Linked DNA regions of Sus scrofa. The protein of the gene in region 1 purifies or fractionates together with the protein of each later gene. This does not show direct contact. Links are inferred from orthologs where the notes say so. Each region holds a gene or a part of one and is shown on either strand. Other genes may lie near its edges.

Region 1 (4,262 bases):
GAAATAGACAATCAAACAGATATTCGAAGACAGAGACTTGCTGGTAATGTAAAACCAAAAACACGTCTGGAAGCTGTGCCAGGATGGGCCAGACTTGCCTTGAAGCATATTTCTCTCTGGACGGATGCTCCTCGCTAAAACCCAGCAGGGCTAGGGCGAGCCGGATAGCCTGGCTCTCTAACCCAGAAGCACTCAGCTGTCCTCTTAGCCACCCTCCTGCCTCCCGCAGGAGGAACGAAAACTGTCAGCCCAGATGTTGGGGAGCAGGAACTCTTTTACCCTTATATCTGAAAGGGGGTGACTCATTTCTAGAGAGGAGCACAGGGACAGGAACAGGGTCCTGAACTCTGCTTGCTTGGGTTTAAATCCCAGCTTTTACCGTGTTCTAACTGTGTGACTTTAGGCAAGTTAGTCCATCTCTCTGTGTCTCATTTTCCTTGTCTCTAAAAAGTGGAGATAATAACATTGCTGAGAAAATGGGTTGCCAAGGGAATAGGCCAGTCAATATTTGTAAAGTGCTGAAAATGGACCTGACACAACAAAAGAGCCAAGTATGTATGGATTGTTATTCTACTGCTGAGAATTCTCCAGCCCCGGGCACTCCACAAGCTCCGGGGCTCCCTCTCCTGAAGAGCCCCCACCCCAACTCCCTACACAGATGTGCTTTTGGTTCCGGCTCCCAGCTTCACCAGGCAGAAACCACTCTCACCAGCTTCTCTCTCTCCCTCCTCCCCTTCCCTGCTCATGGTTTCTGCTAATGGCTTTGTGGGGAGAGCAGCGAGGTTGTGAGCGTCAGGGCAGCGAATCTCCCAGACCCAGCTGGCTGCCTAGGGCTGCTGGGTGGCATCTGCCCTCTGACCACCGCTGTCTGCACTGGGAATGGGGGCTTTACTAAGCGGCAGGACACACTAAATTTTCCCTCAGTTACCTTTTGGTACCAATGTATGCAGGGAGATGGGAAAAGAGATGCTTCACCTTCAATCTGGAGATACAGACATATATATATACATTTTTTTTTCCCAAGGTCCATAACTATCCTGCCCCCTCCTGTTTGTAATTCTGCCCAAAGAAGAGAGACCCTTTATTCCTCCAAGGGAGAAACGTAAAAAGCACTGCCTTCTCTCATACTCCCTCTCATCTCAAAATCATCCCTCCAAGGGCAATTCATTTCCCCCTGAGCCCATCGGCGCTCAGCGGGCTTCCCAGGTGAACTGAAATCCAGAGCTATTCTCATCTGGTTGCCCTTGGAGTTTCAGCGCTCTCGGTACAACCTGTTCCTCCATCCTCCCCACTCCCTCTCTCCCTCCCTTCCTTCCTCCCACCGCCGGCGGAGCCCCGCTCAGCCCCTCCCTCCTCGCTCGGGCCCCAGCTGCGCCCTCCGGGGAGACTCCCGCTGCCTCTGAGCCCGGAGGGGAGGCGGGGGAAGGAGAGGACGACAGGGGGCGGGGAGCCGCGCGGGGCGGAGGCCGCGCCGGGCGGCTGGAGGTTGCATCTGCTGGAAGGCGGCTTTTGGCTGCTTGGTAACGGGCTGCCAGAACCCAGAGAGGCAGAGGGCAGGGCAGCGGCTTCTTGACGTCAGGACCGAGCGAGGGGACCCGGCCAGCCACTCCAGCCCGCCCCACAGCCGTGCCGGCGGCCAGCAGAAGAGGCGTCAGGCGCGGGTCGCCCAGCAGGGTGTGAGGGGGGCGCGGGAGTCAGTCCGCAGGGGCGCAGCATGCCCCCCGCTCCCGGACCATGGAGATCGCCCTGGTGCCCCTGGAGAATGGCGGTGCCATGATCGTCAAGGAAGGAGGGGAGGCCGGCACCGCAGGGGGAGAGCTCCGCTGCCCCCCGACGGCTGCGCTCGGAGATGGACCCAAGGAGCGGGAGCCAAGGGGCCGCGGAGCAGAGAGGCGCGCGGATCCGGGAGGCCGGCCGGTGCCGCCGCCGCCCCAGGAGCTGCCGCAGTCGAGGTGGCTGCCTCCGGAGGAAGAGGAGGGAGATGGCGACCCCGCCCTGGGCGTGGCGGAGGACCAGGTGCTGGGCGCGGGCTCCCTCCATCACCAGCGCGTCCTCATCAATATCTCGGGGCTGCGCTTTGAGACGCAGCTAGGCACCCTGGCGCAATTCCCCAACACGCTCCTGGGGGACCCCGCCAAGCGCCTGCGCTACTTCGACCCCCTGAGGAACGAGTACTTCTTCGACCGCAACCGGCCCAGCTTCGATGGCATCCTCTACTACTACCAGTCCGGGGGCCGGCTGCGGAGGCCGGTCAACGTCTCCCTGGACGTGTTCGCGGATGAGATCCGCTTCTACCAGCTGGGGGACGAGGCCATGGAGCGCTTCCGGGAGGACGAGGGCTTCATCAAGGAGGAGGAGAAGCCCCTGCCCCGCAACGAGTTCCAGCGCCAGGTGTGGCTGATCTTCGAGTACCCGGAGAGCTCGGGCTCCGCGAGGGCCATCGCCATCGTCTCAGTCCTTGTCATCCTCATCTCCATCATCACCTTCTGCTTGGAGACCCTGCCTGAGTTCAGGGATGAACGCGAGCTGCTGCGCCATCCCCCGGTGCACCACCAGCCCCCTGGACCCGCCCCAGGGGCCAATGGCAGCGGGGCAGCGGCGGCGCCGCCTCCCTCAGGTCCCACAGTGGCGCCTCTCCTGCCCAGGACCCTGGCGGACCCCTTCTTCATCGTGGAGACCACGTGTGTCGTCTGGTTCACCTTCGAGCTTCTGGTGCGCTTCTTCGCCTGTCCCAGCAAGGCTGAGTTTTCCCGGAACATCATGAACATCATCGACGTGGTGGCCATCTTCCCCTACTTCATCACCCTGGGCACCGAGCTGGTGGAACAGCAGCCAGGGGGTGGGGGAGGGGGCGGCCAGAACGGGCAGCAGGCCATGTCGCTGGCCATCCTCCGAGTGATCCGCCTGGTCCGCGTGTTCCGCATCTTCAAGCTCTCCCGCCACTCCAAGGGGCTGCAGATCCTGGGCAAGACCCTGCAGGCCTCCATGCGGGAGCTGGGCCTGCTCATCTTCTTCCTCTTCATCGGCGTCATCCTCTTCTCCAGCGCCGTCTACTTCGCCGAGGCCGACAACCAAGAGACCCACTTCTCCAGCATCCCGGATGGCTTCTGGTGGGCCGTGGTTACCATGACCACGGTGGGCTATGGGGACATGAGGCCCGTCACCGTGGGGGGCAAGATCGTGGGCTCTCTGTGTGCCATCGCTGGGGTCCTCACCATCGCCCTGCCTGTACCCGTCATTGTCTCCAACTTCAACTACTTCTACCACAGGGAGACGGACCACGAGGAGCAGGCAGCCCTTAAGGAAGAGCAGGGCAGCCAGAGCCAGGGGACAGGACTGGCCAGCGGTGGCCAGCGGAAGGCCAGCTGGAGCAAGGGGTCCCTCTGCAAGGCTGTGGGGGCCCTGGATAATGCAGATGGATCCCGGAGGGGCAGTTGCCCCTTAGAGAAGTGTAACCTCAAGGCCAAGAGCAATGTGGACTTGCGGAGATCTCTGTATGCCCTCTGCCTGGATAGCAGCCGGGAAACAGATTTGTAAGGGGGATGCAGGTGGATAGTTGGCAGAGAGCTGGGGACAGCGGGGGGCCTCCTGACCTTGGGGATCTACTTCATGGCGAAGAGTATTTCTAGCCCACCCTGTAACCTAGGTCCGCCCCTTCTTCTTTCACTGCTCCCCTCCTGCGTCTCCTTGATCCCCTAGTTTTTCTTTCCTCTTCTTTCCATGACACCCAGGGTCACCTATTTTTAAAAAGTACCACATTCCATGACGCAGGAGCTGTTGAAATGGTGAGCACTGTGAGATGGATGTATTTGTAGCCAGTTTCCTAGACCCAGCAGAGGGATAACCCAAACAAAAATGGCTTTAAATAGCCCAATCCCCAGAGAATTGGTAATCTCCCCCCATCCCTGTGTTCCAAATTTGCTTTACATATAATTATATTTGTGTACATGAGAAAATATTATTTTTATGGCTGGCGAGTGGATTTTTGTACTGTAGTTCAGATGGAGAGATTTTGGATATATTTTCAAGACATACATTGTATTTATGAAAGAGGAGGTTATGGCAACATTCTCCTGTGATATTTCTATTACAGTCCGAGACCCTGGTCTGGCTGTTCTGGTTCCTGTTATCTGCAAGCCTCTCTCTTTTCTGAGTTGTGATTTCGGTGCTTTGTGTCTAGGGCAGAGAATGCTCTGGAAGAAAGCAAGTCTAACTTTTTCTGTGCGCCTTAACCAGTTCTTGTAACTTTCTTCAAAAAGCAT
Region 2 (4,510 bases), on another chromosome or scaffold:
AGAGCAGGAGCCACACAAAGCGACGGGGCTCAGGGAAGCATCCGTCCCAGGCGTGAACAAGGTCGGGCGCCCCTGAGACCCGAAAGCTTTGGGGAGCCTCCCTGAGAGTAAGAGGAGGTTGAATTAAGCCCTGCCGAGAATTCCTCATCCAAGGAATATTCTCTTGAGTACCTACCATGAGCCAGGCCCTGGGAAACCTCCTGAACACTGCAGCCCAGCTCCCTGCCCTGGTTTGGTGTATCTGGAGGGAGGCAGAAAGACAGGATACGAGTCAGCACAAGAAGGACATGGTCGTGACCTATGAAAACCACAAGGCGCTGTCGTGGAGACCTGGATTGGAACCCTGGGCGAGTATCCAGCCATCTAAAGCACATCTTTTCCAACCACACAGCCTCGAGAGGCCAGGCTTCCTTCCTGTCCTTCAACCAAAATGACACACTGCCACACTGAAGGCAGGACCAGGTCTGCAAACGCAGTTGTCTTCCATTGAGACAGGCGTGGAAGAGATGTGCAAAGGTGGGGCCTCTGAGTCTTAAAAAGCAAGCAGGAGAGCGACCATTCCGGCCCGGTGAAGGGCCCAGGTGCGGAGCTCAGAGGCGGTCAGGGGATCAGCGGGCTGGACAGCGGAGGGGAAGGCGAGAGCAGCTCCAGGGGGAGGCTATAGGCGGGCAGGGCCTCCTGCGAGGGCCAGAGAAGGCCAGACCTCCAATGGGAGGCGTCGCCGGGACGGATCTTCAGGGCCAGTAGCGGGCAGGCACCCAACCGGGAAAGGCTCCCAGCAGAGACAGGCAAAGCAGGGACCCTCAGCACGGGTCCGGCCGGAGAAAAATGAGGGCCAACGCCGTGATCTCAGCAATCCCAGGCCGGCCACACCGCGCTCGCCTTAAGCTGGAGGGCCGCAAAGGGGGCGCTGAGTCAAGGGGCAGAGTGCAGAGGTTGAACCCCCAAAAGCCCCCTTACCCTTACAGGACCAGCGGCCGAGGCCGCACCAAGTGTCAACGAAGGGGGAGGGGAGGTGTGACCGACGCGGGCATACCCCGCGCCCGCCCGACTGCCGCGCCCTGCAGGTACCAGGCCCCCGCCGAGAGACTCAAGAAGCACCCCAACTCCGGGCTGGAAGCCCCAGCCCGCTTGGCGGCCCAGCGCGCCTCCAGGCCGCGGCCAACCTCCCCCACGGCGCCAGCCGAAGTGGTTTCGCCCGCGGCGGGCGGCGTTACCTAGGAGACGCGCCAGCCGCGGCCGCGCCCGCCCCGGGGCTTCGAGGCCCACGCTTTCGAGGAAATGCACCCCAGATGGATCCAGGGGCCCGGCGGCCGGCCAATGCCCACCAGAGCCGCAGGCCCAGCAGGCAGAAAATCGGCCGAGAAGCGCCCGATCTGCTGCCACTCGCCGGAGGAGCCTTGGAAAGGGAAGGACCCGCCCCCAGTCGCTGTCGTCAGCAGAGCGGTGGGACCAATCAGAGCCCAAATCCAGGGGCTCCGCTCCGCGAGCGCTAGCCAATCAGCGCGGCGGCGGGCTCGTCCTGATTTGCATTGCCCGCGAGCCTTCAGCCAATAGGGGTTTGATTGGCGTGAAGGCTAGCCAATGAGAGCCTCGCAGAGGCGTGGCCCCGGGCGTCCCACGAGGTGAAGATGCTGCGGGCGGAACCTGGTGGAGCAAGCGGGATTCGGGGGCGCTAAAGTCGCAAGGGCAGGGCGGGAAGGAAGATCCGGAACGGGGCAGAGGATCCGGAGCTGGAGCCCCCCCAGGTGAGTGCAGGGGGAGACCCCGGCCTTCCGCGCAATACACGGCAGTGCGCCGGGAGAGCGACGGCGGGCACCCGCGAGGCCCGCGCCGACTCTCCATCTCCTCTTCCCCAGCGCGTCGCCGCTCCCGCCTCCATCCTCACCTCCTCTCCAGCCGGCTCACTTCCCTCTCCATCATCTCCCTTCCCCCATCCCGTCCTCTCTTGCCTGCCCGTTCTGCCAACCCGCCCGACCCTTTAGCTCCATCCCCGACCCCTGCCCCAAACTTCATCCCTCTGGTCCCGTCTCTGCCCCCTCCTCTTACCGCAGCCTCGCCTCCCCCTGCCCCATCCCCCTTCCCGTCTCCTCTCCCGGTTCTGCGCATCCCCATCGGAGGGCTCTTGGTCCAAGTCCTCCGCATCTCTCCTCTCCTTGTTGCTCCTGAAGGCTCACGCTGCCTCTCCTTCCAGGTTCCTGGCACCATCTTCCCACCCATTCCGTGCCCAGTCTGTAGGTCTTCCCCCGTGGGCGCCCTCTTCCCACCTTGCCCTGCTCTCCAAGACCTTGGCGCTCCCTTCCTGCACCAGTTCGTCTGGCTGCCTATACACCCGTCCCCACCCTGGTCCCTATGCCCCTACCCCATCTTCAGCTTCTTTGCTCCCCACATTCCCTACCTGCTCCTGCTCCTGCTCCCGCAGGACGAAGGTCGCAGGACACAGAGACCCAGCTGCTGCAGGGCTTCCTGCTGCAGTAGCTGTAGTGTACCTGTCCACCTTCCCACCCTCCCATCCAGGCAGCCTACCCCAGCTCTGCTCTTCTTGGCATTTGTCCTGAGGGCTCCTGTAGGGTCTGCAGTCTGTCTAGAGCATCTTGGGGGGGCTCCAGGTGGAAAGTCCCTTAGCACCCTTCCCTACTTTCCCCCCCCTGTCCACCGTCTCCCTCCCCACCCAACCCCCACTTTCCTGCTCAGCCTCACTTTGTGATTCAGCGTTTTTGGGGCTGGTAACTCTCTTTACCTCCTGGCAGGATAAGGACCTGGTTGTCAGGCTGAAGGCAGGAGGTCTTGACCCTGCATTTAGAGGGGCCACATTAGCAAACAGTCCTGAACTGCCTGATGGGGACAGGGTTGGGGACCAGGGAACCCACCAGGGGAGGCTGCCTTTTCCTCTCTTTCACTTGTCTGCCCGGGGTTGAAAGACATCCAAGGGAGATGACAGAAGTAATAGCTCTTGGGGAAATGGGCTCTTAGCATTTATGGAAATTAATACATCCACGTCTGAGGAGCCAGAACACCAAGTTCAGGCCACAGCTGTCTGTCGTGTCAGGATTTCTTCTTTCTCTGCAACTTCTCCTCCCCCTCAAAAAACGCCATCCGCCTTGCAATGCCAAGAGCAAGCTCCTGCTCTGCTAGCCACACCGCATTCAGGCCCCATGCTGCTGCAGGGTTTGGACACCCGCGTGAGGGCCATTGCATCTACCCTCCAGATTGCCGCTTGGCATTTGCATCTACCTGCAGAGCCCAGGCTGCTGTGCAGTTCCTGGGCTCCTGTCCCTGTGCTGCCACAGGGGGCCCAGAGGGCATTGGCCCCCGGGTCCCGTCCGTCAGGAACGCTCTCCAAGCCCACACCGGGCCTCAATGACGCTGAGGGTGTTTGGGTTGCAGCACCTTCCTGCCTCGAAAGCAGCCTGCTGGAGGCTTCCCATGACAAAGCCCAGGGCTCTGTGCCTCTCACGGCTGCGCCTGTCGACAGACACGGGGCACGGCTTGATGCCAGGGCACCAGGGAGGGGGGCAAAGGGTCATGCACAGTGTGAAACCCAGTCTTGTGGCTGGATGGTTATGAGTAGGCAGAAAGCGGTTGGCACACAGGAGGCATGACAAGACGGCCACCACTCCTTGTCCTGTGAGGGTCACTGGGGCTCATGGGATGAGCAAGCTCTAGGGTGGGGTAGACCCAGAGACGTCACACCATGGGCTGGCCTTCTTTCCTCCTTCATGATCGGCTAAACCCCAAATGATTCAGGAGGAAGTGAGTGGCACAAGTTTTGGTGGCAGTTTCCGGTGAGGGAGGGGGCCTCCTCTCAACTTTCCTGTTTGTTGGTGCTGGGTCCATGGCAACTGGGCAGCACCGCGTGTGGCAAAGGAGAGTGGGCGAAGGAAGGCCTCTGGGCTGCTAGAACCCGGGGGAGTGTCTTTGGATTCCCAGGACTCCGGATGGAAGGAGCGTGTGTGTTTAGTCCTTGACTAAACTCTCCATGACCTTGAGCAAATACTCCATCGCCAAAGGTCCCGGAGCCAGAGCAGTTTCCTCGAGTCCCTGAATAAACGGGCAGAAGAGTGGCACTTCAGGCCACATTCAGGGAGGACCAGCTCTGAAGGTGTCCCGGACCAGAGACCCCACCCCTCCCTCCAGCCCTCCCAGCAGCCAGGGGTCCCAGCAAACATGCATGTGCTGCAGGGGTCTTGGGCGTGTCCCCTTTTGGAGGAGTTAACAGAAGCCAGAGGCCCTGGCTTCTCCAAGGTCGCTCAGAGGTGGGCTGGGTCGGGCCCCATACCTGCCGCCAGACTGAGGCAGGCCCCTTCACTCGTTCTTCCTCTCGGAGTAAAACGACACCCCATGGACCCGCCGACCCCCTGCCCAGCCACCCTTTGGCAAGCAGTTGTGAGGCGGTGCTGACATGGGTGGAGGAAACAGCACCCTGAGTCACTGGGGCCGACAGGAGCAGGAGATGCCACCAACCACAGAGAAGTCTGGGCGGCCCTATCCTGCCCCCCCCCCCCCGGCA

Evidence for each region.
Region 2: the proteins of KCNA5 (region 1) and KCNAB2 purify together in Homo sapiens (co-immunoprecipitation; 3 studies listed by BioGRID and IntAct, counting the BioPlex papers as one, with this or other methods). This does not show direct contact. The link is inferred for Sus scrofa from reciprocal best matches to the Homo sapiens genes KCNA5 and KCNAB2.

Annotation. Positions count from the first base shown.
Region 1 is NC_010447.5:65,439,408-65,443,669, reverse strand, and holds the start of KCNA5 (potassium voltage-gated channel subfamily A member 5), read left to right. Parts: upstream 1-1,462; 5' UTR 1,463-1,734; coding exon 1,735-3,537; 3' UTR 3,538-4,262. UniProt on the Homo sapiens protein: Voltage-gated potassium channel that mediates transmembrane potassium transport in excitable membranes. Forms tetrameric potassium-selective channels through which potassium ions pass in accordance with their electrochemical gradient.
Region 2 is NC_010448.4:66,926,769-66,931,278, forward strand, and holds the start of KCNAB2 (voltage-gated potassium channel subunit beta-2), read left to right. Parts: upstream 1-1,610; 5' UTR 1,611-1,748; intron 1,749-4,510.